Drosophila melanogaster: one gene and its partners. The protein of the gene in region 4 interacts with the protein of the main gene of each other region in a pairwise test. Each region holds a gene or a part of one and is shown on either strand. Other genes may lie near its edges.

Region 1 (6,765 bases), on a different chromosome or scaffold from region 4:
TCAAAACCAAACGAAATCGCATTAAAAATAAATAAAATTAAAAGTGTAAACTGCACAAACACACACGACTTTTGGCCATGCTGCGTGCCAAGTGGAAAATATTTCGCAAGTTTTTCTACACATTATTGTGTGAAAAATACTATATACATATAGTGTACTATATATATACACATCTGTGTAAAAAGTCGGACACAGGCAGGCAGGCGGCTGCCTGTGTGTTATGTTTAGTTTGCTACGTTCAATTTGCATTGTTGTTGCCTGCTATTCTATTGTTGCCGGCAAAACAAAATAAGGCAACGCAAAATGCTAGAATGGGCGAAAAAAAAAACAAGGCATAATAAGCAGGCAAGAATAAAAACTACAAAAAGAAAGCAAAAAAAAAAAAAAAAAAAACGAAGCATAAAGGAGATGAAAATGAACATTTTTTGGCAAACAATTCAGGGCTAAATATTTTCATTGTTTTGTTGAGTTTTTATCACAACACCATAAGTTTGTATCCAAGTGGCAACAGGAAAAATCTAGATAAAATCATCAAGATTCTAGCAATTTAAAGTCCCGCATTATTTGTGTGCGAATCATACGATATTTTTGTTTTCTTCCTGTTTGTAGTTAATTTAAAGGAAATCCCAAGGATTTGCATCTCTAAGTTATTGGGTAAACATTACGAAATATACAAATAATGTGATTATAGTTTAAACATATTTATTAATAAGATGCACAAGGTGACACTCTTTGTGTTTCTTAGTATGGGATCTTTTAAATTTAGTAAAAGGAGTTAAAGTAACAAAACAAAGCAAAGGCATTTAAAATGTCAAGATAAATCCCATTTGACGCTTATCCTTGGGACTTTGCAAAGTTAATGGATAAATATCGAGTGCCATGATAAAGTTTGGTTAGTTCAAAGGGTTTTGGGGTTTGGGGTTTGAGTTTTGGAACCCGCACAATCGCACGCACACATTTAATTGCAGAAATGCTTAATTATGCATGAAACACTGAAATAAGCAAGACGCACACACACATACACTCACTCACATCCAGCGAGGGATGAATAATTCATGGCAAAACGGAGAATTCGTGGATCGGCTTTGCCCTTCCCTTCCCTTCCCCTTCGATTAAACAGCGCGCGTTGGTAAAACAAACAAATAAACAGCATAGCCAGCAATATTTTGTACCTCCTAATGACGTACTCTTTCCAGACGGCAAAAAAAAAAAAAGAAAGGAACACGAAAATTGAGAAAACTTTTGCCGTGCAATTTGCACGTCAACATTTTCCCAAAACACCGAAAAAAGTAATACTAATGGCAGGCACAACAATATTTTCGGCAGCGTCGGCGGTCAAGTTTGTGTTGTGATGTTGCATGGATGCCTCCAGTGGCCATACCCTTCCCCCAAATCGGCGAAACCAAGGACATTCAATATGGGAACGAGGTGAGAAACGATTAGACAAGGCCTCGTTAGCTGGAGATTACAGTGAACACAGTTGAAATTCCACATTTGGAAATACCCTTCAAATCCTATACTCAGATATTTGAGTTTCAAAAGATCACTCTAGTATGAATATATCTTTTTTAAATAGCACTCAGTTATGAAGTGCAAATTGAATGTTACAATTCTTAAAATACTCCTGGTTTTCATTTGCGAAAGTGCACTGTAATTCTTACTAAACATAAATGACATCTCACTCTCGAATGGATTCCCATCGATTGGCCACAAAGGAAACTCACCTGCAAAGATACAAAAAGAAAAAATAATTAGCAATAAAGCCAGCGAGCATAGACGAATGTAATTTGTCTAAGCAGAATCAGAATTCAGAAGCCGAATGGGAGGAAGAACGATTTTCTTTTGGTTGCCACAAGAACAAGACTGTGAGCTTGTGTGTGGGTTGTCAACTGATTGCGCATACGCCGCGTTGGTCAACGCACTTTCCAAGGCTGCGAAAACGCGAAAGCAGCTGCAGCGCGCTAGTCGCTAATCATAATTTTTGATCTACAAACTAATTAGTGTTCGCACGAGTGTGATTGCAATTTATTGGACACCAATTGAGACGAAAGCGCGCATTTTCATTCATAAACATGGCAAAATACGGGGACCAGAGCGAAAAAAGGGAACTCAATTTATTAATTGCTAGCAAATGTTGGGCGTGTGTTGCAAGAGTTTTGCCTTTGCGATCGCAATTGCGATTGCATTAGCCATATTGCAATTATGTCGTCATGTCCGCGTCGCCGCCAAAGTTCAAAGTTGCAGAATCTTTAGAACATAAAAGTTTTTCGCACGTTCCGCACATGGTGGTGAAGAGCAAGGAGGGCCGGAGGGAGGAGGCAGTCACTGTGCGCCGAGAATTATTCATGGCGCATATTTCAGCGGTTTGGCAATAGCCCCCCACCTTCCACACCCCCTCCCAAGAGGCGAAATAAATAATTGCAAATATTATTGGCCACTCAGCGCATGCCAACAATAAGAACTGCAAAAATAGCCAGCGAAATTTGCAGTTCGCATAGTTTCGCAATAAGTCGGCGGCAATGATGACTCAAGAGTGCAAAACCAAATATTATAGCCATATAAAAAATATGTGGGAAATTATGCATCTTGGCATGGCACTTGGGCATCCCGATGCGATGAACTGAAATCTGACAGGTTGAGGAGGTACTCCTGGGTCTGGTTATTCTAGTCATGATGGGCTAGTCAATTGGCAGGATTCGCGTCTCTATTCAATTGGCCGAACCGTTTCAAAACTATTTCAAGGCTTTAGGCCAAAACGAATCAATTTGAAACACAATATTCGTTTTTGACAGTGATTAAGCGAAAATAATCGCTGGTGGGAAGTAAATCAAAGTGGCTACACTTATAGTACTTAATCGTTTAATTAGGCTGTAAAATGTTCTACAATCTACAATCTGCTGCCAAAAAGCATTTATTTTATACTAGGATCAACGAAAACTAAATATATTTCCCTCACTGACGCGCCTTTGTTTTAAGTAACATAATACACTATTTTTTTTTTTTTAAGATTTATTGTCTTTCCATTGATATCTGCAAGTCACACAAATGGTATAATGGTCTGAAACAAAATCGCGTAGCAAATCTAATTTCAATTTCTATACTAAAATATCAGACGGATGGAAATAAATAGGGCGCACACATCAGGGTAAAATGGTAGACGTATTCCCCATCTACAATGACGGACATGTGGAGCTTGAAGATCTGTGCCTGTCTGGGCCTTCTATTACTTTTCAAACCCATCGACTCCATGGGATGGCAAGGACCTAAAGTTGACTGTACGGCCAACGGAACTCAGACGGAGTGTCCTGTAGCATGTCCTGAAACCTGCGAGTACTCCGGCAATGGACCCTGCGTCAAGATGTGCGGAGCTCCTTGTGTGTGTAAGCCGGGATATGTTATCAATGAGAGGATTCCGGCCTGTGTTCTGCGATCCGATTGCCCAAAAGATGTTGTTCGAAAGGAAGATATGCTACTGGGTGTATCGAACTTTAAGTGCTTTAGCAGAAATTACAACTGTTCATAGAAATTTATTAGGAAGGCAGCTAAACTTTAAACTAAATTACAATAAAATGTAAATAAATGTGTAGTAAATTACAAGCTATAATTACAAGATAATTACAAATAGTAAAAGAAATCCGAAATGTTAGTTGCACTAATTACGTAACTGGAACGAAGTTGCATAGCAAATATAATTTGTATTGCTGTACTAGCAACCTATAAGAATACTTTCGAAATCTTCATTCCACCTGCTGCCCAGTTTTCCAGCCAAGTCCTGCCCACTTCTCATTTGCCCGAAATGCCACTGCAAATGTGGCGGTGCAACTGTTACCAGGCGGCTGGTTGTGTTTGTGACCGCCATGTGCCCACTGGCAGCCACAGAAGCGCACGTCACCCGCACATACAGTCATGACCATTACAATGGCTATTAAGAGAAAGAAAACGCATTTCTTGGCAAGCGGTCTCGTGTGCTACGGGTCATTTGGGCGGAACTATGTGACTGCAATTGGGGGACACAGAAAAATGGGGATTTCAGCACCAATCCATGCGAAACGCGGAACACATTCGATATGGTAATCACATCGGAAATTTCACTGTGAATTATTTAGAACTGTGTTATTCCTACATGCTTTTCGAGCTGAACAATAAATGCACAGAATGAATACTTTGTATTTGCTGGCCAGATTAGGCGCGGTGATGCATGGTGCTGCAATTGGGATTTAATTAAAAACTTAGTGGGCCAGCAACCAAACGGCGCACACTTTGATTTATGATTTAAGCCAAATAGTTTTAAAGCGCCGCCGACGTGGTATAATTCTCTTGTATTTTGCATGTTAAATTTCGCGTAATAACGAAAATGATATATAGAAATAATCATAATTTTCACACTTGAAAGAGCGACACAAGACGTCCACGGCGACGACGCCCGTTCGCATCGCGGCTTGTGCATTATTTCTTAATTAAATTTATTAATTGCACACAACACGAGCCGACGGCCGTACAACGGGGCGTATGCGCAACGCTCGCCCCCGCCATGAGATTTAAATGAAAATGCGAGCGAGTGAGAGGGAGAAAGAAAGGCAAAGAAAAGCCATTTGAATGATTCATTTACGTGTCGAAAACTTAATTGTGCTAGCAGGTAAGACGCTTGTCGATGACGCCAAAGGCTAAGAGGACAAAAAAAAACAACATTATCATCATCACCATCCGAATCGCAGCTGAACTGGGCTTAAGAAAAATGGTCAAACCAATTATAAGACTTCTGTGGGCTATTTCATTTTGTCATTAAGAAACTCTAGTAGTTGAAGAACATCCAAATTTGGTCACAACAAGGCAACCATATCAGCCATTATGCTTATACCAATTTTCACTTTTCACTTGCTCTTTTCGCACGTCACTAGGGGTTTTTCACGATTTTCTTGAATGACTGCCTGCAGCATCCGCGCATCCAAACAGCAGCTGTCAGCCCAGAGTATATCACCGTCATTGGGATCTGTCACAATGGCGAACTCTGGGGCATTTGTCACCCAGTCACCTTTGCACCCGCGAATTCCCCGGCAGTCCGCAAAAGCAATTAGTCGCAACAGTTCCTAAAAATGTGTCATTTTCGGCCAAAATAAATACTGAATTATTTTTGTGCCACGAATATTTTTAGCTATTTTGGTCTAAGCAAACAAAACTCAGCGGGACTTTGTGCTGAGTATCTCTTCGAAAATTAATTAGCAGCGTAAAAGCAAGAAATGCAACTGAAAAAGAAGCCACAGGGGGCAACAGGGGGTTAAAGCGAGCATCGTCCTTGGCCAAATACTTTCCATGACAGTTGTCGAGTCAATTTAATTAGTTAGATACCATTCTTGAATGCAACCATTTCAGAGAGCTCAGGAGATTTGTGTAAAATAAGTAAATATTTTGAAAAATATTCTTTTCACTTGGTGCATTGGAAACAATACTTTCGACTCTTTTAGGAAAACGTCTCTTTTTTCATGGCCCACAAATTATTGCTATAGCTCTTATAAATCACTTCAATATACTTTTATATATCATGTACGCCTTTTCTTTCAGTGTGCAAACCAAAGCAACGAGTGTAATTGCCTTCGAAATGCATGCATCTAATTTGGCCACATTTAATTCAGCTCTGTAAACTTTTCAATTTAAACTTTTTTTTTTTAATTTTTGGGCAAATATACCATTGCATAATTCGTGTTGTGTACACACTTTTTCCATTTGCATCGTCTCATTTTAACTTTTCCCTTTGATTCGCCCCGCCTTTTTGCCGAAATCTCGCTTCTCCCCACCCGCTTAGAGCAAACATTTGCATAATTTAAGTTTGATGTTGAAAGTTACGTGTTTGCCAGCGAAACGACAACAAGCTACCTGGCTGAGTGAACCGTGAACTCAACGGCTCAATGGCTAAACAGGTGCAGCGCAGGTGAATGAGCCACCCACACACCCACTGGCGGAAAACGCCACCCAACTGCAACATTGTCGAATGAAAAATTGAGAGCTTAGCGCATTTGCTAGCAATGTTGCCAGGGAAAACCAGCTAAATCAGGAGCAACCTTGTCGATTCGCGGCTACAGGTGTTTGTTGCTTTTGCACATGGAAATGCATTTAAATATATATATAGCAGAGAAGTGGGTGCGTGGGTGTTTAAATCGTGTAACCCCATGGAAAACATTTCGTATTTTTAACAATATATAGCAGACTAGTAACTCAGTTTTAAAATACTTAAGCAATAAGTGGGAAAATTAGTTTCTAAATTCGTGTCCACAATCGTAGATATATTTGGCACAGCGAAAGCTGGCGCTTTTGGATCTGCAGTTTGTGCTGTTGTTCAGTTTTTGGTAATCTGTCTGATTATTTAACTTGCGCTAAATACAAATATTTAGAAAATATTTTGCGGCAATTTTTATGTTATTTTTCTTGGCAGCTCAGCTACTCGGATATTTTCCCCTTTCCACCGCCAAAAGAATGAGGGTCATTAAGATACATATACGCCGGACAAAGTCTTATTGTTTTATACTATATCTATATGGCGAGCATTATTCTTTCTAATTTATTCCACTTGGGCTTAGAGGCGCGTAAATAATATAAACTTAGTGCTCACTGAAAAGTTCGAACTGGTGGAGACAAAGAAGTGGTCGATAATTGGAATATTTCGGGACCTTGAAGGCGCACTTTTCCAAATAACTCCCACCTTGCGGACTGCCTCAATTAATCTGAAAATTTGCAAAATAACCGGCCGGCAAAGCTAAAAATACCAAACAC
Region 2 (7,717 bases), on a different chromosome or scaffold from region 4:
CCATAGTAAGCAGTCGGGAATATGGGGTCAGGGGTCAAAGCATCTGTTCTGCGAGTGCGCCGCCTAATGACTTTGAAACGTATGCGGCAAAGTCAAAAGCATGCACTTTGCGAGTATTACATGCAGGCTAATAATACAGGTGAGCATAATAGCGACCTGCAACGCAATATGAATGCTAAATATGTGCGGTGGGAAAATCGAAGATCTTGCCTATTTGGGTGTGAGTCATGAAATTTCAGTTGCATTGGCATAAACTGGATAGATGAAGTTACGAAATCGTAATATATTTATTGTACTTAACAAGCTTAATAGCCAGTTAGTTACATATTTAAATTATTAAAAATATAACATGACTACACATCAAGCCCACGAGTAACACGACCTCTTGACTTTTTCACCACACCTCTTCTGTTAACTTAAACGAGGATATTTCGACCAGCAAAAAATCCCTTTCAACCAAGAGAAATTTGCTCTTTTCGATGTGCATGTGTGTGTAAAAGAGCACTAATTCATTATACAAGTAAACTGATTATTATATATATTAGTACAAATTAGGTTAAGCAATTTGTTATTCGATTTTGTATCATTTAAAAAGTCTGTCTTATATAAAATTTTTGATTTTTCAAAAAACATTTTATAAAGTTGAATTTGTCCATCAAATTCCACTTAAAGTTGATTCAACCTATAGCATTTTTGTCACTTCAAACAATGCTTGCGGATATATATAATCATTCAATTTAGTGAACGTGCTGTTTGAAAGAGTGACTAATCTTTTTTACCAGATTTCCTGTCCAGCAATCTGCTAACAATGCGTTTAGACAACGTGTTGCCGTGGCATCCACAACGTTAATTATTGCTTGGGATGTAAAAGGGGGAGCAGCAGGAGGAAGAAGAGGAGCTGATGGAGGAGCTGGAGCTGGAGCTATGAGTTCGAAAGGGAGTCAATATGTTTGCTTGTTTTTCGACGGCAACACGCGCGACGATGACGTCGGAGTGCAGCCTGCCTGGAAGCCGGAAAATTCGGGAAATTCAACCGGCTAACCAGCAGAAAACAAGCTGGCAAATAAAAACCGCACCAAAACACGGAGGAGCGCCAAAAGAGCCCAAAGCGCAGATCCAAAGCTACGGTGTACGGAAGTGGGCAAAGGTAGATGGGTACATGGGAAAGCCCGTGGAAATACGGGGAAAAGCTGGAGTGTCGAGCAGCCTGCATGGGTTCGAATTCAATATGGCGGCACAGAGGAAGTGCCACAGACGCAGTGGCATGTGCATCTGTGCATCTGTGCGTGCCAGTGGGCTCTCTCATTGAACCAACAGCTTGTGGCGTCAATTTGCGGACATTATTGTTTCACGACTGCCAACTGCGTAACGACCAGCGAGGCCTAAGCAAATCTGCCCGTAAACTCACCGCAATCATGGGATAACAGCTTTTCGACCGGGCATCTCTGGCTATTGTTTTTCGATGCAGCTGCATTAAAAACAAATGCAGCAGCAGCAGGTCAGCAGGTGGCTATCTAATTTTTGATTATTCGCGCGATTTGTGCGAAAAAATTAATTGAGGCCTGCGGTTTTGTTTTCTTGCGCGGCATTATTGCTGCTTTTGCACCCATTATTCATTTTGTGTGCGCTCGAAGTCGAGAAATTCGATTGGGAATCGAAATAATTTGGCATAATGAATGCGCTTCGTTACCGGCATTTTCCATTATACTAATATTTGAAATACGAGCAAAACACCACAAAAATATACTCGTTTGCTATTGAGACAAAAAGTGTATCATGTGCTCACATTGTTGTGAGTGAAAATTTGAGAAATATATAGCAGTAGTGTATAAAATGTTATTTCATTAAATATACAGACATATTCAATCATCTTTGCAATCTTGAGCAAAGCGATGCAAGTAATGGATATCTTATAGTCGATGTAACTATATCTCTCTACCTCTTGCCTTTACTATGGAAATTTCACATAAATTGTTGCATTGTAAATGCATTTGAACACTTTGAGACTGAATATAGACATATATCGCCTAGACGGTCAAATTGGATATATATGATTTATAGCATTTGCTAATGATGATGAGCATGTGTACCGTCGGGGGCATGCAACATCTCCTTTGTGGGGTCAGCTTAATGCAGCTCATTAACGGACCACCGACTCTCCTTGTATGATTGTGTAGCGGTAAACTGAATGCTTTTGACCCACTAATGAGCAAGTGGCCACTAACTGCTAAGAGCTAGTAAACTGATCATCTTTAAGGTGCAAACTGTTCTACATATTCACTTATGGAAATTTATCAAAATTACAATTATCTAAGGCTTACTATGACTTTAGAAAACTAAACCAAGAAACATTCTTTTCGGGTATTTAATAGTGCTAAATAAATAAATATGGTTACACTTGTTAAAACTTTGGTTTCACAGGGCGAGCTAACTCTCACCTTTTAGGCAGCCTGTCCAGGCCATACACTTCTCCCCACCTCCGACCATTTCAAATCCGACCAGCTTAATTCACCCACTGCTTGGGGTTTATAAAGATGTCGGAAACGGTGCCGCGCAGCGACTTCATTCCCTGGCTGGAGGGGACGGGCTTGGGCCTCTGGGCCACGTTGCTCATCCACCGACTGAAGGCCTCTTCCGCCTGCGAGCGGCGGGCGGCCTTCTCCTCCTGGCGCCGCCGCTCGGCATTCCGCTGCTCGAGGCGACGCTGTTCGAGCAGCCTAAGCTTGTGCAGCTCCCACTCCTGCAGGTGATGTTGCACAGACGCCATATTCTTTTGCGGCGGCAGCTGGGCAGAACGGTCGGGCTTGGTGAGCTTGGCGGTACTGGTGGTCTGCTGCGCCTTCTGCTGACACCACTGCTCGTACTTCTCCTTGGCGAGCCGCTGCCTCAGCTCCGTTCGCTGCCGCTGCGCCTCTCTCTCGGCCTGCTGCGCCTGCAACTTGTACTGGCACTGGCGTTGCTTGCCGGACAGCCAGTTCTCGTAGGCCTCACCGGCGGACCGCCGGATATGGAGCGGTTCGATGCGGCGGGTGTAGGTAAGGGGCGGCGATCCTACGCTCGATCCCAGGCGCAGCGAGGGCAGGCTGTGGCTTAGTGGCAACTCGAGCGGGGCCAGCATGCTGTCGTCCCGGGACATGGCCTCCTCCCAGCTGCACATCGAGGTCGTCGAGTCCTTGTCGCTGGAATTGTTGCCGCTGCGGGAAGAGGGGCAGGATCGGCTGCTGCAGCTACTCCGGTCCGTGCTGGTGCTACTGCTGGGACTGCCCAGATGCAGGCAGACCGTCTCCGACTCCGTCTGCAGCTCGATATCCTCTCCCAGTTCACCGACGCGGGGCCCCTCAATTGTCTTGGTCGACTTCAGGGTGCCCAGGGACAAATCCGAGCAGCAGCGCAGAGTGGAGGTCTCCGTCTCGTCCAATGAGTTGACTTCACTGGACGACTCGGAGCTGCCCACGTAGCGCACTGTGCTGGGGCTACCCATAGAGCGCACGAGGCTGTCCTTGTCACAGGTCTTGATGAAAGTCCTGGAACCCTTTCTTCGCGGTAGCAGTACACGAGCCCCCATCTCTCTGGCTTGGCCATCTGAATCCTGCTGGCTGGGCTGGGTCATGCAGAATAGTTCATGGTCGATAAGGGTTCCCTGACTGTTGACTTTGCCCAGAAATGCCATTTTGCAGTGCTCTTCTTTCCTAGGATTCCTCTTCTGAGTACAGATAGTAATCTTTATGGGGCAGATGAACCTACCTTCTTGTGTAGCCAATATTCAAATTCAATACGTCGTCAGGGACGATTTATGGAACACCTTGCTGGCTTCAGAACCGATAAACTTTGAAGTCTATGAAAAGTGTTTAAGTTTGTGTGTTGGAATAGCGAACAATAAACTTTTTCGTTTCTTGACATAAAACTCAAATGAGATGAATAGTCTTAGGTTCATTTTCCCCTTTTCGTTTAAATGTGAATGAATACGACATACCCTTGATTGCATGGGTATGTCCTACATATCCTTGCACCACCCTTTCGACGGCTGCCACCCTTCTCAGCTCAGGACAATGTAATGAAATGGTTGTCTACCGCACGCTTTGCGCTGCATAACATTTAGGTTTCAATTTCTATTAATATGCAATTTAGCTCTTTTTTCCTATTATAATTCTACGTCTGTGGCACACAGCTCCCCCACTCAAGCCCGGGTCCACGGATTGCCGATCGGGCCGCGCACAACTTGATTGCAGCAGCTGAAGTTGCCGCGAACGGTTGTTGCTCTTACATTCTAATCGAAATTTTTATTGTTCATAGTCACGAAAGTGCGCGGCTCTGGAGCGATGACGACAACACGGCGTCGTCTGCGGTGGTGCAGTGGCTCACCGGCTCTACAAGCCGGGTGGAGGTGGTGCGGTGGTGCAGCTGTGGCGGCAAGGTAATGTCAGTTATTTGACAGCGCCGACAGTCGAGTACGCTGCCGTGGCAGACATGCCACACTGCCTCACTGCTACATCACATCGGCTGCTCAAAGCCAGAGGCTGATCTTGGGGGGGATTAAGGGGGCCCTATTTCAGTTGGGTTTCAACTCCACTAACCTTTTTTATATATCAGCCGAAAAACTAGCTGCCCCCAAAAAAGTATATGCTGCCACTGCCACTGGTGCTCAGGTATGATTTCTAGTCGCGATGTTTAAAAGCTAAGCCAAATATGTGCCACTTTGGCATAAAAATTGCCGTGCAGGCCCTCCCACCACGCCCCCTCAGCCTATGACCACATCCGAAAAACAAAAGCGGAAAAGTGGAAAATCAGAAGCAGCAGACGTCGTTGGAAATGCAACCGGCATTATTTTATAATTTACAAACAAGTCGCACGAATGTAGCGACATTTGCAACAGGATTTGCCTTCATCGACAGCCAACGCAGATGGCCGTCCTCGAAACATGAATTTCCATTAGCGGTAGATGTATTTCACAAAACTTTTATTGATAGAAATCGAAATCGGTACCCTAAGGTACATTTACTCGAAACGCATAATTTTGTAAGAAATTTTTGGAACGTTAATGGAAAGATTGTACAATCTCATTGATTACATGGTGTGCTAGGGAAGTAGTGAAATAAACGGCTTGACTATCACATACCTGTCAATTATCAAATCGATTTCAATTCCAAGCTGAGTAAATTCTTAACTTAAAATTAATACATTTTTCGTGTCATTGTGTTCCCACATGATTTGTGAAAATTTCTACCATTATTGCCCTAAACTTAAACGAACCACTTTTGCCACAGACGTTGGATCGGTCTTTGGCCAACTTTTCTTGCTCAGTGCTTTCACTTTCAGGCCAGTCGTGCAATTAATAGGAAAACCCCATTAATGTCCTCCTCACCTCCTTTGCAAGCCAGACAAGAAGTCAGTCAAGGAGGCAGTGAGCTGAGCCCGAAAGGCGGCTGGAATATGACTTATTTAAGTCGGAGCCGCGTGTTAATAACTTTGCAAGCCTCGCCAGGCATGCAAACTTCAACCATGTGAGTGTCCTTCGTTGGATTTTCGCCTCCTTGCTGGCTCTTCTGCGTGTGGCAGGCAGATTAAAGTGACAGACAGGGCTACGCAGGCAAAATAACAAAAGGTGGTTAAGTCGTTGTAAGTGTTTAAGTCGACAAGGGGAGGTCGGCCGCCCAAGGACGAGGCTCGATGCGTGTTTATAGCGCTGTGAAATGAACAACATTTTGCAAGGTGATTTACCAGTTATTAGATTTTTCAACCCAAAGTGGCTAGGCTGGCTTATTGCGCTTGCCGCGCACCGACTGCCTACCTACCATTTCCTTGGGGAATACAGCTGCTCCTTTACCTTTTTATAATCCTGCAAAGTTTTTATTTGATTGCGACAAATATTCGCATCTCATGTCGCAAAAGAACAGAGCCGAGCAGAATGTCAAAGGCATTTGAGCAAAACAATTGCTGGGCCAAAAGTTTTTGCTCACAACTTTTGAACTATGCCTGATTAAATAAAAGCCCGAAAAGAAGTTGAGCTCAGTTGTGCTGGTAAAGATAGTCATATTGCATAAGTAAATATGCGAAATTGTTGTTTGAGAAGTGTTTATGCCATCTAGCGCATTCCTTTGGACTTTACATCTCACTCAACGCCTGGAACTTGGAACTATTAGTCAAACTTCCGGACTTCCATACCCTTTTCATAGGGTATTTCCGGTTTTACAGCAAATTTAACTTTAATATGCTTTTTTGCGTAGATGTTTAGAATGTGCTAAGATTTGGTCGACATTTCCAGAGAAGAACGACTCTTTGCAAGTCTAAATATTTGATTGAATTAAAACGTACCGCTTGGCCGTGCATTTAAAACTTTGTCGGCTTTTAATAAATTTACGTAATTTCCAGAGAGAGACAGAGCTGGCCTGAAGTAAGCCACACAACTTTGCAGAGCAACTTTGGCACATTTCTTAATTAGCTTTATGAGTTTGCTGCGAAGCACCTGGCGAAATTCCCATGCGTGCGGTCAGTCAGGTGGCCAGCCTAGTCCCAAAACTTTGCTCGGCTGTGAAAATATTATGCAAAAATAATATTAAAACTTTGCGTATGATGCCCCATTGTTCAACTTTGTATTGCGACCAGTTCGGCGTGTGAGGAATACCACTTGACTGGAAGGCGATGGAATGTGATGCTATCAATGGCAGTGGCAACAATGGCCAATTTGTAGAGAGATCCTTGAGCCGCATAAATTATACCTTGCCCCCTAATTGGGCCGGTCTTCGGATGAAAATGACGACGACAACGCCAAACGGCGACACTTGAAATCAAAATTCACGACATGGGTAGGGGAAATCGCTAGGAAATGTCAGTCCGCTGTCCATAGTCCGTCGACATTGGGCGTAAAGCGAAAGGCAGCAAGGCGTAACATGCGATAAAATTGAGTTGGAGACGTGTCTCAAATCTAAAATTAACAAACTGCCCCAGTCAGTCAGGCCAGTCAGTCAGCCCAGTCACCGAGTCAGCGAGTCACCGAGTTAGCCGGATCCGTCCTTTCCCGGCCAAATGTCCTGCGACACAGCCCAGCCTGCATGTAAATGAGTTTTTAATGATGTCCACGTTCGCCATCGTCCACCGTCTGCGTTCAAATCCACTCCACTCCGTCCCTCGATTTTCCGCTCTACTCCCTCGCCGTTGCGAGTTGCTCTTTCGAGTGTCATAGTTTGCCTAATTGCTGACATAATTTTGCCGGTTTTTTGCCTCTGCCCTTTAATAGTTTTTTTTTTTGTCCACCGTTCAGCTATTGGTTTCATGTAAATGCGGGCCTGATTAGCGACAGTCATGAATTTCAATTTGCTCCTTAATTAATTGTTGATTTAAAATTCTTGCGTGCCAATGGAGCTGCACAACCTGGACGCATATAATCTTGGGGCTTCAGCTCAAGGTTTTTTCTTCAATTCAAAAGGGGCAATTACTCGATATGGTCGCTATTGGATTACAATAGTGTCAGGACTTGCGAAAGTATTGGATTTAGGAAAGGTCGTTCGAAATACACATACATTGAGCTGCCATTGAACAGCGCGACCATTTTTGCATAAGAAAAGCTCAATCTTTCATGGCCGTTCACAAAGATAAAGCGGAATAAAAAGGGCCAGTTCATAGATAAACTCGCGCTTCAGTGGCAGAAAAAAGAAGATATATTGCCAGGTGTTTAGTGGTAAAAACAATGAAGCGCCCCCACCATCCTAACAACTGCGCC
Region 3 (9,032 bases), on a different chromosome or scaffold from region 4:
TCGCTATGACGCTCCTTTTGAGCCTGATCACAGTCTTTAAGAGTCTGCAGGAGCAGAGTGAGGATGGCATAGTTTCAAAGAGTTCGCAAGAGTTTGTGGACCTCAAGGAGTTGGCCAAGCGATTTGCGCTCACATTTGGTTTCGATGCCATCAAGAATCGCGAATCTGTGGCCGCCATTCATCGTGGTGGCATTTATTTCGCTGCGAACAAGGAGCCAGATGATCCGGTGCGGGCTCCAACTCGCTTGCTCTTCCTGGAGGTTTTGAACGAGTTCAACTACAAGCTACTGAAGCAAGACAAGAAGGTCATAATGAGCTTTCTGGACAAGATAATACCACCCGCAATGCCATCCAGCCGAGCTGAGGAATGGCAGCCGCTGATATTATATCGCAATTCCTTGCTACATGGCGAAACTGATCAAGCGCCCGTCGCCAGCAAACGAGCCTACACACGTAAACGTCGAGATCATGGTAAGAATTTCATAGCTTTCATTTTATTTAGAATCAACATTATGAAAAACATGTTTTTAATTTAGATGAAGAAGAGGAGGAGGAGGAAGACGAAGAGGAACACAATGATCCTGATTACAGGGGCTAGGACCCATCAGGCAATCAGCCATACACGCGGCTTAAGTGCAAAATCTAATTTTCCGGAAAATCAAGTAGTTGTAAGATTAAAGCTAATATTATGTACATAAATACGTTTAAATTATATAAATTACTGTATCCTAATTGATTTCCGAATTGCTAAAGCTAAAGTTGGCCTTCATGAGCAACATTTTGGATGCACTTTCGGGGCTCAAGCCCGCCTGCATGTCGAAATACAAGTGCGTTGATTTTCTAAATAAGCCTTCACTAACCACACTTGCTGCTGGTGCTGATAAGAATTTCCTAACAATGCCATACAAGGATATGTATTTTATGTTGCTCCTCCACCAAATCAGGGGATCCATGTTCCTATCGATTCTGGGTTCGGAGTTGTATAGATATAGCAGATTCTTAATCTGAGACTGGGAGCCCATTGACGTATTTGGCTGTTGAGTGTTCGTCGTTCCAGTTGTCAGTATGCTATCCAGAATGCTATCGATCTTTGATTCATTCTTCTGGGACGATGTGGATGACACTTTGATTATTTTCAGCGGTGGCTGACCATTGCAATCCTCTGGCACTCCAGCGAGCTGAAGCAGAACTTCATTGGCCACCAACTGCTCCTCACGTTCGGTGAAAAATGCTTGCTTATATCTCGGATCCAAATATGTGGCCATCAAAAAGTTGATGTCGCTAGTGATGTGGGCGAACTTCATTTCCAGTTCTTCAAGCAACTTTCTGGCGAAACTGCATATAGTCTAGACATTCGAAATATTAGACAATACTTTATGGTTTTATCTACTGCAACTTACCACAGATGAGACAAAGTTATGGACATCTGTTCGGAGGGAATCCCGTAAAGCGGCAACCAGCGGGATTACGGATGAGGTGGTCGTAGATGGATTGCTCCATATCTTGATTGTTTCTTCACAAGGCTGCATTACTTTGCTGCACAAATCGATCTCTATCCATTCATCTGGATATATTTGGACCAGACTATACTCTTCGCAGTACAAGGATAGAGCATCTTTCATTCGAAACACGCTGCTCATCATCTGAAAAGCGGAATTCCATTGACAGGGATCGTAAGGTGTAAGTGTGCACGGGTCTCGCGTCAAGCGGATCTCTTGAATGAATTTCAGATGATCGTTGGCCATCTTAGACGACGCAAAATGGTCAACTATTTGCTTGCACTTGGATGAAAGGTTCTGCAGTAATTCGTTCGATTGCAAAGCAAATCGAACGCACATCTGCAGGCGGTGCACACTGCAATCGGGCAGGGAACCTGGCAGCGCCGTCATCTCGTCCCTGATTACGCAGTGTATCTTCTCTTTGGGCACCTCAATGGCCAAGCTGGGCACAAGATCTCGAATGCAACAAGCTAGCTTCGAAGTGCTTTCGTAATTCAGAGCCTCGCATTTCAGCATTAGGCGGTGAGTCTGAAAATCCCTTGATATTCCGGAGCAGGACAAGCTCAGCAGTCCTTCGCCTTTGTCACCACGCCAGAGACTCGTAGACAACGATATGGCATCCAGCAGATCCACCTGTTGCTTCAAATGCTGATGCATTTTCCTTTGTATATCCTCGCACAGTATCTTCTCATAGTAGCTCCTTGGTTGAATCGTGTACCGCGGCTGCAGCGTCCTAATGAAATTTACGAATCCTGGTCCTTCAATGAACTCAAAGGAGTGATTTAGTAGCATGAGGGCCAACTTCTCATCACAGCGTTTGCTGTAGGATATATCCTCGGTGTCCAATGGATCTGAATCTGTTTCCTAAAATGATTAATAGAATAATTTAATGCATCAGATTAGTGAAAAACGCATAATTTATAAAAATATAATACTAAGACCATAACAGTACATTTTTAAAACCTCCTTAACTACACTTTATAAACACAACACATGTTTGCCGATCTAGCCAAACGCGGATAAAAATCCGCATCCGCTGTTGCTATATTAGTAAAAAGTTTTAAATAAGAGAAGGCATAAATTACTTTATGAACTACCAAAGAAACTATATTTGAATGGAAACTTAAGTTTGGGGAAACCATCTCCACATGACAGAATATCTAGAAGGGCATGTACCCCGATTTCACATAAGGTACACTTCTTGCACAGTACATATGCATGTACATAGGTATGTATGCACATCTATATGCTATCCCACTTACGTGCAGATTCAATTCTAGCTGGGCTGTGGGGTGCTGTGGCGAACCGATGGAGATCTCGCTCTTAACCAGGTCCAGGTACTTTATGTCCCCGGATAGAGATAGGAACTCCGGTGGGTGCTTGCTCTTCAGATGATTCCGCAGACATGTTGTGCCGCGTCCTCGCCTCGAGTAGTTCCTGTTGCACAGCAGACAGGTGGCCACTGTGCCGGATGTCTTGTAGAAGTACTGCCACACATTGCTTTTCTTCTTGCTCATCGCTGCAATTCTTTGGTAATTCTCAAATTGTACATTTTTTGCGGATGTCCACATCCGCCTCTACATCCGTTCTGCGGCAGAGTTCGACATCCCTGGCAGATATCGATAGGCCCATCGATGACCATCACTAATATGCTGCAATCAGTTTTTGGCGCGCCAAAGCAGCTGTTGTTTTTTGCATTCGAGGTTTTTGAGGCATTTGCAAATTCATTCGTTAACTAGATAATGCCCTGTGCGATGGAGCTGCCCAGCACGCCCGATGAACTGGCCGCCCAGCAAGCGGACAGCGCTGCACTCAAGGACTTGCTCAAGGATCCCAGTCGTTGGCACTCGATTCCCCTGCTCAACTACACGCCTCTTCACAAGCTGAAGGATCAGACTCTGGTGCGCTTTCGTGGAATGATCCAGGACATGATGGACCCAGAAATCTATCTGGAGCGCTACGAAGTGAAATCCGCCGACGGCAGCAAACGTGTACAGGAAGGAAAGTACAGGGACTGCTTGAAAATAGCCAATGGCGAAGTGATTGACTACAACGCCGATGGAAACGTGCATGGAGAGAGGCGTACCATGTTCGTGGTCTCTGTGCCTGGTCTGAACGATTGGAGCAAGGAGCATGAGAAGCTGTGCTGTCCCCAGATCGATTTGGCCAGTCTGGGTCAATCTCCCAGTTCAGCCAAGAAGCGGACTATTGTAGGCGAAGAAGAAGCCATGGATGTGGACGTTGCGAGCGAAACAACGTTCAAGCGACCCTGCCTAAAAGAGATTCAAAAAGATAGCGAGCCAGTCGGCGCCTCCAAATCCTCTGTTCTTGGGTCTGATTACCTGATTAACTCGCCTCTGCCGGATCGTCCCAGCATGGCATGCATGGTAAAGGTTTACGAGGAGTTCGATACCTACCAGCTTAACTCGCTGGTCGACTTTGTGGGCTTTCTGTCAGTGGATGCTTCACTAGACGCCGCTACCCTGGAAATAGACGATTGTGAAAACTTGAGTGAACTGCAGGCAGCTCATCCATCGCCATTTCTTATACCCCGCCTGCATGCCTTCGGAGTCCAGGTGCTGCCGCATGCCAATCCGCTGCTGGACAAAAGCCTTCGACAGCCAACGGAAATATGTGAGGAGACGTATCCAACCCACCTTGCTGTGCACAAAGATCTGCGCATGCTTCTTAAACTCTGCCTCTTTGATGACGATCTGGCTGCCGAGTATTTGCTCTCCCACCTAATATCTACGGTCTACAGTCGTTCTGAGATGCAGAGCATCGGCAAGTTCGCCCTTAACCTTTGTAATCTCCCTAAGAATTGTGAGGCGTATGCAACCAAGTTGTATCAAATTCTGGAGCTGCTACTGCCGGCCAGCCATTACATGCCCATGACTCTCGTCACACTAAACACGGCAGCCTTTGCCCCAAAGTAAGTTGGCTAAGCAGAAATAGTATAAAATTGAATACCTATTAATGAGTACTTGCAGGAAGGATTATGAGACAAACAAGCTGGTTTCCGGCGTACTACAGTTGGCTCCCCATACGCATTTGGTGCTCGACGAGACGTGCATGCAACAGGGCAAGCTGGAGGCCAATGGTGTTCATGCCGTTCAGCATTTAGCGCACTTGATCAATAATCAGGAACTGAAGTGCGACTTTCAGTATTACCAAATAGACTACCAAGCAAATATTCCAGTTCTCGTGCTCAGTGAAGGGCGAAGTATGTTGCCGGTAAGAATATAAGTTTATATAAATAATCATTATATCCAATAGAAACTATTAATGATATGTTTTCAGAGCGATTTTGTGCTGCCCATTAATGCCGATTCTAAGGCCGTGGAACTTGTTGATGAATCTCTAAAGGCAGCCCACCACTATCTGCAGCCATCACGTCTGCAGCAGTTTCGCAAGTACTTGACCACAGCGCGCACTAGCGGCTTCAACGTGAGCGAGGAGCACACTGAAATGATCCAGCAGGATTTCGTGGACATGCGTAAAGCTAATGTCAAAAGTAATGCCGATGATCTGCATGGATTGCTGGTCCTCTCACGGCTGCTGGGCATCGCCCGGGGGAAGGATACGTTGGACAAAGAAACATGGCAGCTGGCTACGGAGTTCGAAGCAAAGCGTCGCCAGCGTATTCAATCTCTGCCGAAATCATCTGCCCAATTGCGCAATTAAGAGGGCCTCTCTTTTATACCATTTAATATTAAGTTTTTATAAATAAAATAGAATTTTTTAAAATTATTCTCTTTATATTTAATTTGTAGCTTTACAGGCAAGTCTAGTAATTTAGTACTCAAGTAAATGGGACTCTAGGAGCGTCATGACTCTTGGTCCACTACAACTTCATGACTTAAATGCTCGAAACGCCCTTCGATTAGCTGACTGGCCAGGCAATCTCCGCACAGATTAAGGTAACAATAACAACTGTTACAACGCCATTGGGTCCTGGTCACAGATGCCTCTTCGCACTCGGCACACTTGGCGGCCAGCAAGTCTGGCTCATATCCGTCCTCCATTTCCCGTTTCTCGTCCTGAATGGCTGATAGAAGCTTAAGGCATAGTTCCTGTTTTCGCTTTGACTCCGCATTCAGATCGGCATCCATGTACTCGGATTCGATCTTTGGTTCGATCTTGGATGCCGGCATAAGGAGCATATCGCTCGCAGGCGATGGGATTCGCAGGTCGTCAAATGTGAAATCGTCCTCTGGCATTTGTAGCGATATATTATGAGCGGGGAAGAAGGTTGACTTGCGAAGTTTGATCTTCGGCTTACTCAAACCAGGACGTCGATGCTTGGGTATGCGACCGGGCACAGGCATTCCGGCATCGTGCAGCTTTTGGAAATACTTCTGGACACGACTATACACTTGCTGTGCCGTTCTGTTGCCCAAGGCCTTCGCTATCTTCCCGAATCTGCGCATTTCCACTTCCTCTGGCGGATACTGGATGAGCAGCTGCTCCAAGCGACTCTGCTCTTCGTTGGTCCACAAGCGATTGAAATTCTCCGACCGTCCATTGCTCCTGTCCCGATTCTTGTTCGCCTCTTGCGTCCATGAAGACGCATCGGTCGGTGTCTCATTTGTGCCCCCTTCCTCGTCATTGGGCGACAGAGTTGGCAAGTCCGGTAGAACGGTCGTGGTGATGTAATTATCCGCTATCAAAGGCTCGTTGTTTCGCAGTTTGTCCAGCATATGTTGCGGATTCTCCAAGTAGATATTTTGTGTGGCTTCCAATTCCTCAATCTGCTGATGCACCCGAATCCTTTGTGCCTGCAGCACGGCCAAAGTGCGCAGCAAATTGGTATAGCACTGGTTGCCACGCAGGGCCAGGTGCTCGGTCTCAAAGTGAAACACATCCTCATCTTCTGCAGATATCTCTGCTATTTCCATTACAAAGAATTAGCACCAAATACCCGTTTGTATACAAAAAATGTGTTTACGCCTCTGCGCTAGAGATGGCAGCTCATTAAGCAAAACAGTTATCGAAATTTAGCAACATATCGATCTTGGATCATTATCAGCTGTTATCAGCGAAAAAAGAAGAAGCGGAATACGTAACGTTTATTTACAAATTTAGCAATGATAAGTGCACCAATTCGCTCTATCCTTGCACTTACAGCAAAGGTAATTTCACGGAAAATCGAACGCACTTGACAATATTTTAATAATTTTAAAACTAACAGCGCACGGCGGTTACAAGCGCGGCCAATCAGGTGCGAATTGTGGAGGTTGGACCGCGGGATGGTCTTCAAAACGAGCCCAAACTCCTGCCGGCAGCCACCAAGATCGAGCTGATCAACCAATTGTCCGAAACAGGACTGCGAACCATAGAAGCCACCAGCTTTGTGAGCGCCAAATGGGTGCCACAGATGGGCGACAATGCCGAAGTGCTGAAAGGAATCCGCAAAGTGACTGGTATAAGCTATCCAGTCCTCACGCCTAATCTGAAGGGATTCGAGAGTGCTCTGGAGGCGGGAGCCGAGGAGGTGGCAGTCTTTGGAGCCGCATCTGATGCGTTTTCGCTGAAGAACGTTAATTGCACGGCAGCTGAGGCCATCGAACGATTTAAACCTGTGCTGAAAGCAGCCCAAAAGCATGGTGTGCGCGTCCGGGGCTACGTTTCCACCGTGGTTGGCTGCCCGTACGAGGGTGCTGTTGCGCCGAGTGCTGTCGTCAAAGTGGTGGAAGCCCTGTACCAAATGGGCTGCTATGAGATCTCATTGGGCGACACCATTGGTGTGGGCACTCCAGGCACAATGCGCCGAATGCTGGATGAGGTGACCAAGGTCGTCCCGGCTAAAGATCTGGCCGTGCACTGCCACGACACTTATGGTCAGGCTCTGAGCAACATACTGGTCTCACTGGACTATGGCATTCGGGTGGTGGACTCTTCCGTTTCTGGCTTGGGCGGATGTCCTTACGCCAAGGGGGCGTCAGGCAACGCAGCCACCGAGGATGTGGTCTACTTACTGCACGGCATGGGCCTCGATACTGGCGTCAACCTAGACAAACTGATCCAAGTGGGGCGGTACATCTGCACCGAACTGGGCAGAACCTCAGAGTCCAAGGTTAATCGAGCGTGGAAGGGACCGCAGGCGCGAGTTAAGTGATGATGCAAGCATTGATACTATCAAACGAAAACGAAGGCATTTACTAGCACTAGTTACACAATACATTTATTATCGTTGCAATATTTAGTCAAGGAGCGTGAAGTACTTTTATGGGCCTTAAAACTTTTGGGCATCTCTTATTGTGTATAAGGACACGTCGCCTGAGGCGAGCGACAGATCAGCCAGGCTGTGATTGGCGCGTCGTGGGATATGCGAAGACGACGGATTGCGGACTGCCTCGCCGGGCATTTTCATTTTGCCATCGTGGCGCATAACAGTAGGCTCCACGGCGGAGTTGAGGTATTTTTGAATTTGAGGTACCTTCGGCATGGGCAAAGGAGTTCGTTCATCAACCACCTGTTCAATGGAAGGTATTAGTTTACGTTCACTCATCATGGCTTATATATAAATTTAAACTTACATGCTTGATTTCGGAAGATATGTAAGCCTTTTTGGGAAGCAGATCAGCGGCTGAATCGATTCCATTGATAATTAAAGATTCCGCTTCACTGGACTTGGGTGTTTCGTCCTTTGTTGCGAAAAGTGCTTTAGGATGACACAAGCGAGACTCCTGCTCCAACTCACTGATGGCCAGTGTAGATAGCATATCAGAACTCGTTGGACGGAATGTACTCATTAGCGGAGCAGTACCAGACTTCTGGGTGTAGGTGCGTATGGGACTGACTATGTTGGCGTATGGCTGCTTTATCTGATTTTGGCGACGCTGAGGAATACCAGAGGCTGCACTGAAAAATTTCTTTTTGGTCCACTCCATGGTGAGGCCGACATTGAGCGGCTTTCTACCCGTGCTAGATGAACCTACAACTGTTTGTGGCTGATTAGATGACCGCAGCGGAATTGATGGCTGCAAAAAGGCTACAGCCGGTGATTTTGGTTCCGGCTTCGGTGAAACAACGAACGTGCTTTGTTTGGTCTTGGGCAGCACAGGGCAATCTGCCTTGACTGCGGCGACTGAAGGAGCCCCACCTGCCATGTACTCCATACCCTTTTGCATCATGTACTCCATTTCTTCCATGGTATCATTGAAATGCAACGAATTTTCCTTATTTTCAACGCTCTTCTCCGCTGGTTTCTGCTCAGTGTGATCTTTTCCGTGGACTGAGGACACACGGGACGTGTCTTCTTGTTTTACTTCTGGAACTAGCTGCACTTCTTCATCGTCAGAAGAGGATAGCTCGATTATTGTATCCTCTATATCGTCCTCTTCCTCCTCGACCTCATCCTTCGGAAGTGAGGCCAGCTCTCTAAGACTGCCATGAAGATCGCTTAAGAGCTCCAGCTCCTCTCCCTTGGACATTCCTGGTGGCTTGGCCTTGGCAATTGCGGCGTAAAACAATTCGTCGACGTTTAGGAGCGTTCCACTGAGGGAAGTATCCGTGGCTGTTTCGTAAGAA
Region 4 (7,909 bases):
CCGCCCACCGCCCTCTGTCCCCACAGCAGTGCAACAAATGCCGCAGTTTCTCTGCGGAGCACATTGCCCCAAAAGAATCCACAACTAAAACGTGTCATTTGCAAGGGAAGCGCAAATGGCTTCATTTGGTTAATATGCACTTGGAGCGAAATGGGGTGCGTTGAATGAGTTAAACAGGTGGATATACAAGTACTAACAATATGCTAGGCTATGCTAAGTTGGATAATTTGTACATTCTTACACGTGAAGTTACATAACTTAGATATAAACTTAATTAGTATATGCTAGCCTTAAGGTAATTCTTAGATTTTTATTATACCAGGATTTTGGAAAAAGAGTATAGATAAACCTGTTCGATCATTGGAGATATATTTCTCCGCCATGCTTTTTCGCTCCTTGCACGTAGCGCACAAAAACCAACTAGGGGGCATTTATTTGTCATTTTCTTAAATGCGCAATGACCACCAGCCGGCCCTCCAACGTTTACTTAGGCCTTTTGATTCTGACGCACTTGCGATGGGCCAACGAAATGGGCCACGTGAATGTGGCCACCGGAGGATGTGCTCGTCCATGAACAATGGGCATTACTTGGGGCTTATTGGGGCGAAGGCCCATAAACGAGGCACTGCAACTTGTTGCCCTCCCAGAGAAATATGTTAATTGTGCTCGTGTGTCGTCTGGTTTGGCCGGATATTTATGAAGTTATTAAGTGCGGTCTTTTGGAAGCACTGGCAAAATCATGAGGCCACTCGATCCAAGAGGCCTGCCCCTCAATAATTAATTAGAAATTTACATAATAAAAATCATTTGGCCGCCGGGTAGGATCCATTTTTCGACGGCTCAATTTGGGGCCAAGTTAAATATTTAGTTTAAGCTTTTGCCCGCGCTGCAACTTTATAGCCAGCCACCAATTACCAACTTGGTGGGCTCCTTGGTGGGAGTGGGTGGTCGTGGGTGGTGGGCATGGCCATTGTCTTTGGGCGACAAACCATAAAAACAAACTGTTAACAGTTGGCGCTCGGGCATTGATTGACCAGACAAGTGCAAGCAATGGAGCTCAGCGTCAGTATCCACTGTCTCACACACATCCACAAAAGCATCTTCATCAGATTCAGTTCCTCAGATCTCGCATCAGCTGCTGCGATTCCCATGGACGTGACACGGTGGAGCGGTGGAGAAAACATCATCATAATAATAATAAAGCCGAATAACTTTCTCCACACGTAGTGTGTGTCAATAAATCGGTTGTTTCTCGCAGAGTTTGAAAGGAAACTTTTAGAGTTCTTAAACAAAGAATGTGGTTTTGGAACCACTGTGCCGCATCCTGTCTGCCATGAATGATGCGTCCTTTCCTGCCAGCACATAAAGCCCCGGCCAGTTGCATCTATTCCACACACTGATAGACAATGTTTGTGCACTGATTTATACTCAGCCAGCTATTAAATAAGAATTTTCGTTATTACGCTGCCGGGGATTTTATTATGTGACTTTCAAAAGCCCCCGCCAACTTGTTGTGGCTTTGGCTTAAAGCCGCGCCAAGCTGAAAATTGTTATTTTAACCTTTTAAAGTCAGCTTTATCAGCACCAAATGCAGGGCCATTATGCGTGGCCCACGCGGCGTATGAGCAACGTTAAATCTGCGAATAATTCAAAGACGTGCGTTTCTTTTTACAGCCGCCTTGTCGGTAATCCCATTAAGGAGTTATCTGGCGAAACATTTTTGCACAACACTCGACTGGAGGCACTGTGAGTATACTTTGTTTGTTTTAATTTAAAAAATCACAAAATATATCATGAAGTTGTTAAAACGGGATTGAATTTGATTTGAATATATGATTTCATTTAATTTCTCACCAATATTTAAGTTCGTTGGCCCTAATGCCGATTCACATCAGCAGCAGTTTAATGGAGCCACTGAATATATCGTTTTTGAATCTCACGGGAATTCGGTATGATCACATCGACTTCGAGGCCATCAATTCAATGCGCAACCTGACGTACATCATCTACGATCGATTCTTCTACTGCTCAATGACGCCGCGGGTGAGAATGTGCAAGCCGTCCACCGATGGAGTCAGCTCCTTTCAAGATCTTCTGAGCAAACCAGTGTTACGTTACTCCGCCTGGGTGATGGCCACGTTGACAATAGCTGGAAATGTGCTAGTCCTATGGGGACGCTTTATCTACCGCGATGAGAATGTGGCTGTGACAATGGTGATTCGGAATCTGGCTCTGGCTGATATGCTGATGGGCTTCTATTTGGTCACCATTGGAGTGCAGGACTATCGCTACCGCAACGAGTATTACAAGTAAGTCAAATGTGATGGATTGGCATTTGTTACGCCCCAATCTTTTAGGGTTGTGCTGGACTGGATAACCTCGTGGCAGTGCACACTGATTGGAACGCTGGCCGTGAGCTCCTCGGAGGTTTCGATGCTTATCCTGGCTTTTATGTCGCTGGAGCGGTTTCTCTTGATCGCCGATCCCTTTCGCGGCCATCGCAGCATTGGAAATCGGGTGATGTGGCTGGCTTTGATTTGCATTTGGATTACGGGCGTGGGCTTGGCTGTGGCACCGGTGCTCCTGTGGCGGACCAGTACCCTACCCTACTACGGATCCTATTCCGGAACCTGTGAGCACAATGTTTATGATAAAATGTAGTTTACCAAGTGACGAAATTAAACTTAACAGGCTTTCCATTGCACATCCACGAGGCCTTCCCGATGGGCTGGCTTTACTCGGCTTTCGTGTTCCTGGGCGTCAATCTGCTGCTGCTGGTGATGATTGCGATGCTCTACACGGCACTCCTTATTTCGATATGGCGAACGAGGAGCGCCACTCCGCTCACTCTGTTGGATTGCGAATTCGCTGTGCGATTCTTTTTCATCGTGCTGACCGACTTCCTGTGCTGGGTGCCCATCATCGTTATGAAGATCTGGGTTTTTTTCAACTACAATATCTCCGATGACATCTACGCCTGGTTGGTGGTCTTTGTGCTGCCACTTAACTCGGCGGTTAATCCTCTCTTGTACACCTTCACCACGCCCAAGTACCGAAATCAAATCTTCCTTCGCGGCTGGAAGAAGATAACTTCTAGAAAGCGAGCGGAGGCTGGCAATGGAAATGTGGCCACCACAACGACGGGCACGGCAACTGGATCCTCTCAGCATCCGGATGACTTCACGATCTTTGCCAAAGCCGCGATGAGATGCCATTAGGTCCTAACGCTGTCGAACTGAAGGATTCTTGTGGCGCAGATCGAACTTGTATACCACCAGATTTAGCAGCATTTATTTTGTCTATGATATCGAAAATCTATATATGTATGTGAATATCTATCCCTGTCCGTGTAAGATAACCAAATGAAAGTGTGAAATAAATTGAATGTGATATTTGTAAGGCAATTTTACGGAATTTAAAATGGGATGCGAGTTAGTGTAAGATTAAGCTATTATCTAAGTTTTGGTAATAGTTTTAAATACTTTTTATTTAGAAATAGCAGCGCTATCATTTTTGGCATGGTGTGATTCTTTCTGGTCCGAGTAAATCTTTGCCATTACCAACTTGGAGCGCACGATGTGAAACTTTCGCATTTCCTCCAGGTCCTCCATCTGCACCACCATGTTATGCTTACGCTCCAGGTGCATGCGTAGTCTAAAAAATTATTAAGGAGTGTTACTTTCAAATAATGTACACTTTAAACAAAATAACTAACTTGTTACGAGCTGGATAGCTCTGATGGCAGTGGGCGCACTCAAATGGCATGGCCGTATGCGTGCACTCGTGATTCCTGAGAGATGAAGATGAGGTAAAGGACTTCTGGCAGCCGGGAAACTCGCAAATGAAGCGAGATCCAGAGTGCTTAACCTGCTGGTGGACAGTCAAATGGGATCGCTGTGCGAAACGACGATCACAGAGATCACAGGAATAGGGAAAGTCTCTGTTATGATAGCGTTTATGAATCTCCAGGGCTTTGGCAATGGCAAAAACCTTGCCGCATGTGTCGCAGTGGACTCCAGACTGCCTGTGCTTCGAATCGACGTGAACTTTCAGCGCCTGCTTTGTGAGGTAAACCCGGTCGCACTGGCTGCAACGAAAGTTGGGACGATTGGCCAAATGAATCATCTGGTGCTTGGCCATGCGGGAATGGTTCCTGAACTCCTTGTGGCAGAACTTGCAGTTGGATTTTCCCGTATGCCGATTGCGTGGCACAATGTCCTCTAAGCTGTCGATAGGGGTTTCCTGCTTCTCCTCAATCTCTTCCATCAGGAACTCTTCATTCATATCCGCCTCATTCTCCTCATCCTCCACGTCGTCTTCCTGTTCCGTGTTGGCTTCGGTTGCCACAAATATCTCCCTCAACTGCTGATTGGCAATGGCCATTTTCTTGTGGAAGTCGTAGGCCCATTTCAGTTCCACCGCACAACGTTTGCACAAGGTTCGTGGCTCGTTTTTGGGATTTTGCCGCAGGTCTTCCTTGGTGCAGATCTCGTAGCAGTCGTAGTAACTCAGCGCCGCCTCCTGGTCATAGATGACGGTCATGTCCAGCATTTGGTTGGGATACGGCTCCTCCAAACACAAGCGGCAGCAATTGCTCAGCTCCAAAGAAGTAGTACTGTCTGAAAGTGAGACTTCATGGGATACAAGCTTCACGGGAGCTTCTGCAGTTCGCCTTGCTATTGTAAAATTAAGCGTTTGGCATACTTTTGATGTTTGGGGATCCATCTGTGCAAAGCTTATTTTGATCAAATTGAAAAGATTACTCAGATTACCTAATAAATACTTCTTTGTTTACAGTTGAAAATCCCCGCTCTTAGCCATAAATGTGAAGAAAAACTAAACATAGCTGTGCTAGGGTTGCCACCTATTTCACGAGAGGTCTGGCAGCACTTGGGAGCGCTGAAATTTTTGAGAACTTTTTGCTTCGTAGTTGTTGTGATTTCTTTGTACATCCCCTGAAAACGATGAAGTTACTTGAGCCTCAGACGACCATTAGTCCTGAACCGGACATACTGCATCCGGACGACGGTCAATACATATGGCTGCCAATTTCCGTGCTCGTTGGCATTTTCGTTCTGGCTGCACTGGTGCGTTATCGCCACAGTCTGTTTGTTTAAGTGGATGTACATTTGTTTAATTTATGCATTTGGGTGTACACAGGTCTACGCCATGTCACGTAGTCGCTGTCGGAATTCCTGGGATTGCCTAAAGAGCAGGAAGGCTCCGCGAAGTGGATACATCAATGTGGATGAGGAGGATTCCGATGTGCCCATGGACTGCGGAGATGAACTGGGAGATCAAAGGACTACTGCTACTCTCCTCACTGGTCGCCTCCACATTCAGGATGTCAGTGAGCTCGTGACAATGTCCCAATACAATCACAGCCCTTTTTCTTCCACAGGGAGCGAATAACGCCTCCAATGCCTAGTGAATCTCAAAAGTCTTCCATACACTTTATTGTCCACGTTGTCTTCAAACGGTGGTTGTCATCGGTTTAGTTACTACTGCAAACTACGTGCCTCTACTACAAGTACAACGAAAATAACCCTAATTTTAATGATCCGTACTGGTGGCGCCAAGGATTCGCGTCGTCAGGTCGTAGAAGCCAAAGAAGAATGCACCGCCCAGTGTGATCCACAGCACACGCGGCACAAAGCCAGCAAACAGACTGAAAAGTAACATCGAAGTACATTAATAAATGTAATAAATAGTTTTGTAAAGTTAATTTGTGTTTAAATATTAGGACCAGCTTGAGTTGCGTCTAATATGGAAATAATTACCCGCTGAAGCCTCGCTCCAGGTAAATGCCATGCAAAATTCTTCGGGCACTGCGACGTCGGTTGAGACTCTCCCTTTCAGCCAGCATAATTCGGGTTTTGACCACATCGAGCGGCGTAGTTAATCCCGCTGAAATGCCTCCAGCGACAGCTCCACAAAGAGCCACCGAAAAAGGAGTGGAATCGAAGCCGGTCAGGGGAGTCCATTGCAGCTTAAAGTACTCCCAGAGCGGAAACTGTATCAGACTAAATGGAATCTCCCGCATGATAGTGGAACCAAATCCCCTGTACAGACCACGTTTCAATCCCTCAGTGCGATAGGCACGCAGTAGAATTTGCAGGCCGGACTGTTTGTTGCCCTGCAATGTTTGGGAGCGTTGCTTGGCAATCTCCACGGGAACTCGGATCAAGCATGCCAACTATTGGATACAGAGATTCTTCAGATCTAAATACGAGGTGCTCAGTTTTATATGAAATCCTACCACTTCTGCTGCTGAAGCCGCTGCCATGTGAACATAGGGTGAATCTTTGGTTTGGGTGACCGAACTAAGGAACTGCTTTCCGCACTCGTAGGTGCAGAAAAACAGGGCCGCCGTGGGAGCACTTCCTGCAGCCGCAGGAGCGAGTCCTTTGTAGATGCCCCTGAATCCTCCTGCCCGCCAAAAGCCCAGCTCGCTTTGCAGTCGGGTCTTCACTGTATCTATGGGAAACAGCGCTATGTCCACTACCATTCCAGCCACTCCTCCTGCCTAAAACTAATTATTTAAGAACTAACTTTTCATTTAATTTTCATCTACTTACAACAAGTGCATGGAAAAATTTTAATTTATTGACCGGCTCTTGCATTTTGATTGCCACGGACCCCGCGGCCGATTCCAGACCCAATTCCGCTGCCATGTCCTAGAAATGATGTTGGGGCATCCACTTTAAGTCATCCCGTCGGAGTATTAACTAAAGTTGTTTTAGTAAACAAAAACATAAAATGTGGTTGTTAACGTAACAGTCAGCTGCTTTTTGCTGATCTGGCAGGTCTGCAGATAACAGCTGCTTGGTGTAGAGTTGCCAAGATGCTGAAACCATAACAAATAAATATATTCTATGTAAGATATATATTATTTGGTCAAAAGTGTTACTTAAAAAAAGGATGGTATTGAAATGTTAGCTTTTTCACAAAAACACATAATTATAATACATTTTTTTTACACCAAAGTAATTATTTTAAAACCAATACCATTTACTTGACAACCCTGAAAAGCCGTGGTTCTGGGCAAGAGCCAGCAGCACCGTTTTGGCCAAGTGGAATAAAATTGGCTGTGATTTAACTGATAGTAGAATACCAACTGCAGCGGTAGAAAACAATAATCCAAGGATCAAATCATGGCCCTTCGCTTGACCCAGAGATTGCTGCAGACGCAGACGCCGTTCCTCACTCGCGTAAGTTTTCTCGGCCGGAAAATTGGCCCACAAAGGCAAATTACATAATGCGCGCCTGCCAGATCCTATTGATCGTACTTATCGATTCGAATTGTAGGGCTATCCCTTGCTGGTGACCAAGGAGAAGACCGAGGATGTGGCCCACACCAAATCGGCGCTGCAGAAGAAAGTCACGGTGAGTGCAACCTCTGGAGCTCACCCCCAATTGAGGTTATAGCATCCGTATATATCTTCGTGAACAGGGCACCGATATTCCCTCGGCACAGTACGGAGGTCGTCATGCCGTCACCATGCTGCCGGGCGGCGGCATTGGTCCTGAACTGATGGGCTATGTGCGCGAGATCTTCCGGTATTGCGGTGCACCCATCGATTTCGAGGTGATCGACATCGATCCCTCCACCGAGGGCAACGATGATCTGGACTATGCCATCACATCGATTAAGAGGAACGGAGTGGCACTCAAGGGCAACATCGAGACCAAGTCCCAATCCTTGACCGAAGTCTCCCGCAACGTGGCCATCCGTAACGAGCTGGATCTGTACGTCAATGTGGTGCACTGCAAGTCGTATCCGGGCATTCCGGCCCGCCATCACGACATTGACGTGGTGCTCATCCGCCAAAACACCGATGGCGAGTACGCCATGTTGGAACATGAGTCTGTGCCCGGAATTGTGGAGAGCATGAAAGTGGTGACCGTC

What was found.
Region 1: the proteins of CG4730 (region 4) and Acp62F interact in a two-hybrid assay, tested with the Drosophila melanogaster proteins (one large-scale study listed by BioGRID).
Region 2: the proteins of CG4730 (region 4) and CG14011 interact in a two-hybrid assay, tested with the Drosophila melanogaster proteins (one large-scale study listed by BioGRID).
Region 3: the proteins of CG4730 (region 4) and CG13775 interact in a two-hybrid assay, tested with the Drosophila melanogaster proteins (one large-scale study listed by BioGRID).

Annotation. Positions count from the first base shown.
Region 1 is NT_037436.4:2,736,598-2,743,362, forward strand, and holds Acp62F (accessory gland protein 62F), read left to right. Parts: upstream 1-3,152; 5' UTR 3,153-3,175; coding exon 3,176-3,523; 3' UTR 3,524-3,631; downstream 3,632-6,765.
Region 2 is NT_033779.5:5,577,222-5,584,938, forward strand, and holds CG14011 (uncharacterized protein), read right to left. Parts: upstream 3,896-7,717; 5' UTR 3,745-3,895; intron 3,690-3,744; exon of another isoform or gene 3,682-3,689; 5' UTR 3,671-3,681; coding exon 2,504-3,670; 3' UTR 2,359-2,503; downstream 1-2,358.
Region 3 is NT_033779.5:6,953,857-6,962,888, forward strand, and holds CG13775 (uncharacterized protein), read right to left. Parts: upstream 3,095-9,032; 5' UTR 3,017-3,094; coding exon 2,762-3,016; intron 2,488-2,761; exon of another isoform or gene 2,452-2,487; intron 2,364-2,451; coding exon 1,401-2,363; intron 1,347-1,400; coding exon 729-1,346; 3' UTR 599-728; coding exon of another isoform or gene 537-598; 3' UTR 501-536; downstream 1-500. Other genes in the region: SA1 (stromalin 1), read left to right, coding at 1-471, 537-598; CG3430 (uncharacterized protein), read left to right, coding at 3,242-4,431, 4,490-4,733, 4,800-5,183; Atac1 (Ada2a-containing complex component 1), read right to left, coding at 5,327-6,397; Hmgcl (3-Hydroxymethyl-3-methylglutaryl-CoA lyase), read left to right, coding at 6,587-6,631, 6,691-7,617; sip2 (septin interacting protein 2), read right to left, coding at 7,735-7,974, 8,039-9,032.
Region 4 is NT_033777.3:25,673,813-25,681,721, forward strand, and holds CG4730 (uncharacterized protein), read right to left. Parts: upstream 4,871-7,909; 5' UTR 4,784-4,870; exon of another isoform or gene 4,773-4,783; intron 4,736-4,772; exon of another isoform or gene 4,726-4,735; coding exon 3,716-4,725; intron 3,655-3,715; coding exon 3,486-3,654; 3' UTR 3,260-3,485; downstream 1-3,259. Other genes in the region: Lgr3 (Leucine-rich repeat-containing G protein-coupled receptor 3), read left to right, coding at 1,675-1,746, 1,866-2,309, 2,358-2,632, 2,692-3,218; CG5039 (uncharacterized protein), read left to right, coding at 4,965-5,087, 5,161-5,346, 5,402-5,428; CG4743 (uncharacterized protein), read right to left, coding at 5,554-5,668, 5,781-6,196, 6,260-6,526, 6,579-6,674; Idh3g (isocitrate dehydrogenase (NAD(+)) 3 non-catalytic subunit gamma), read left to right, coding at 7,155-7,211, 7,309-7,386, 7,454-7,909.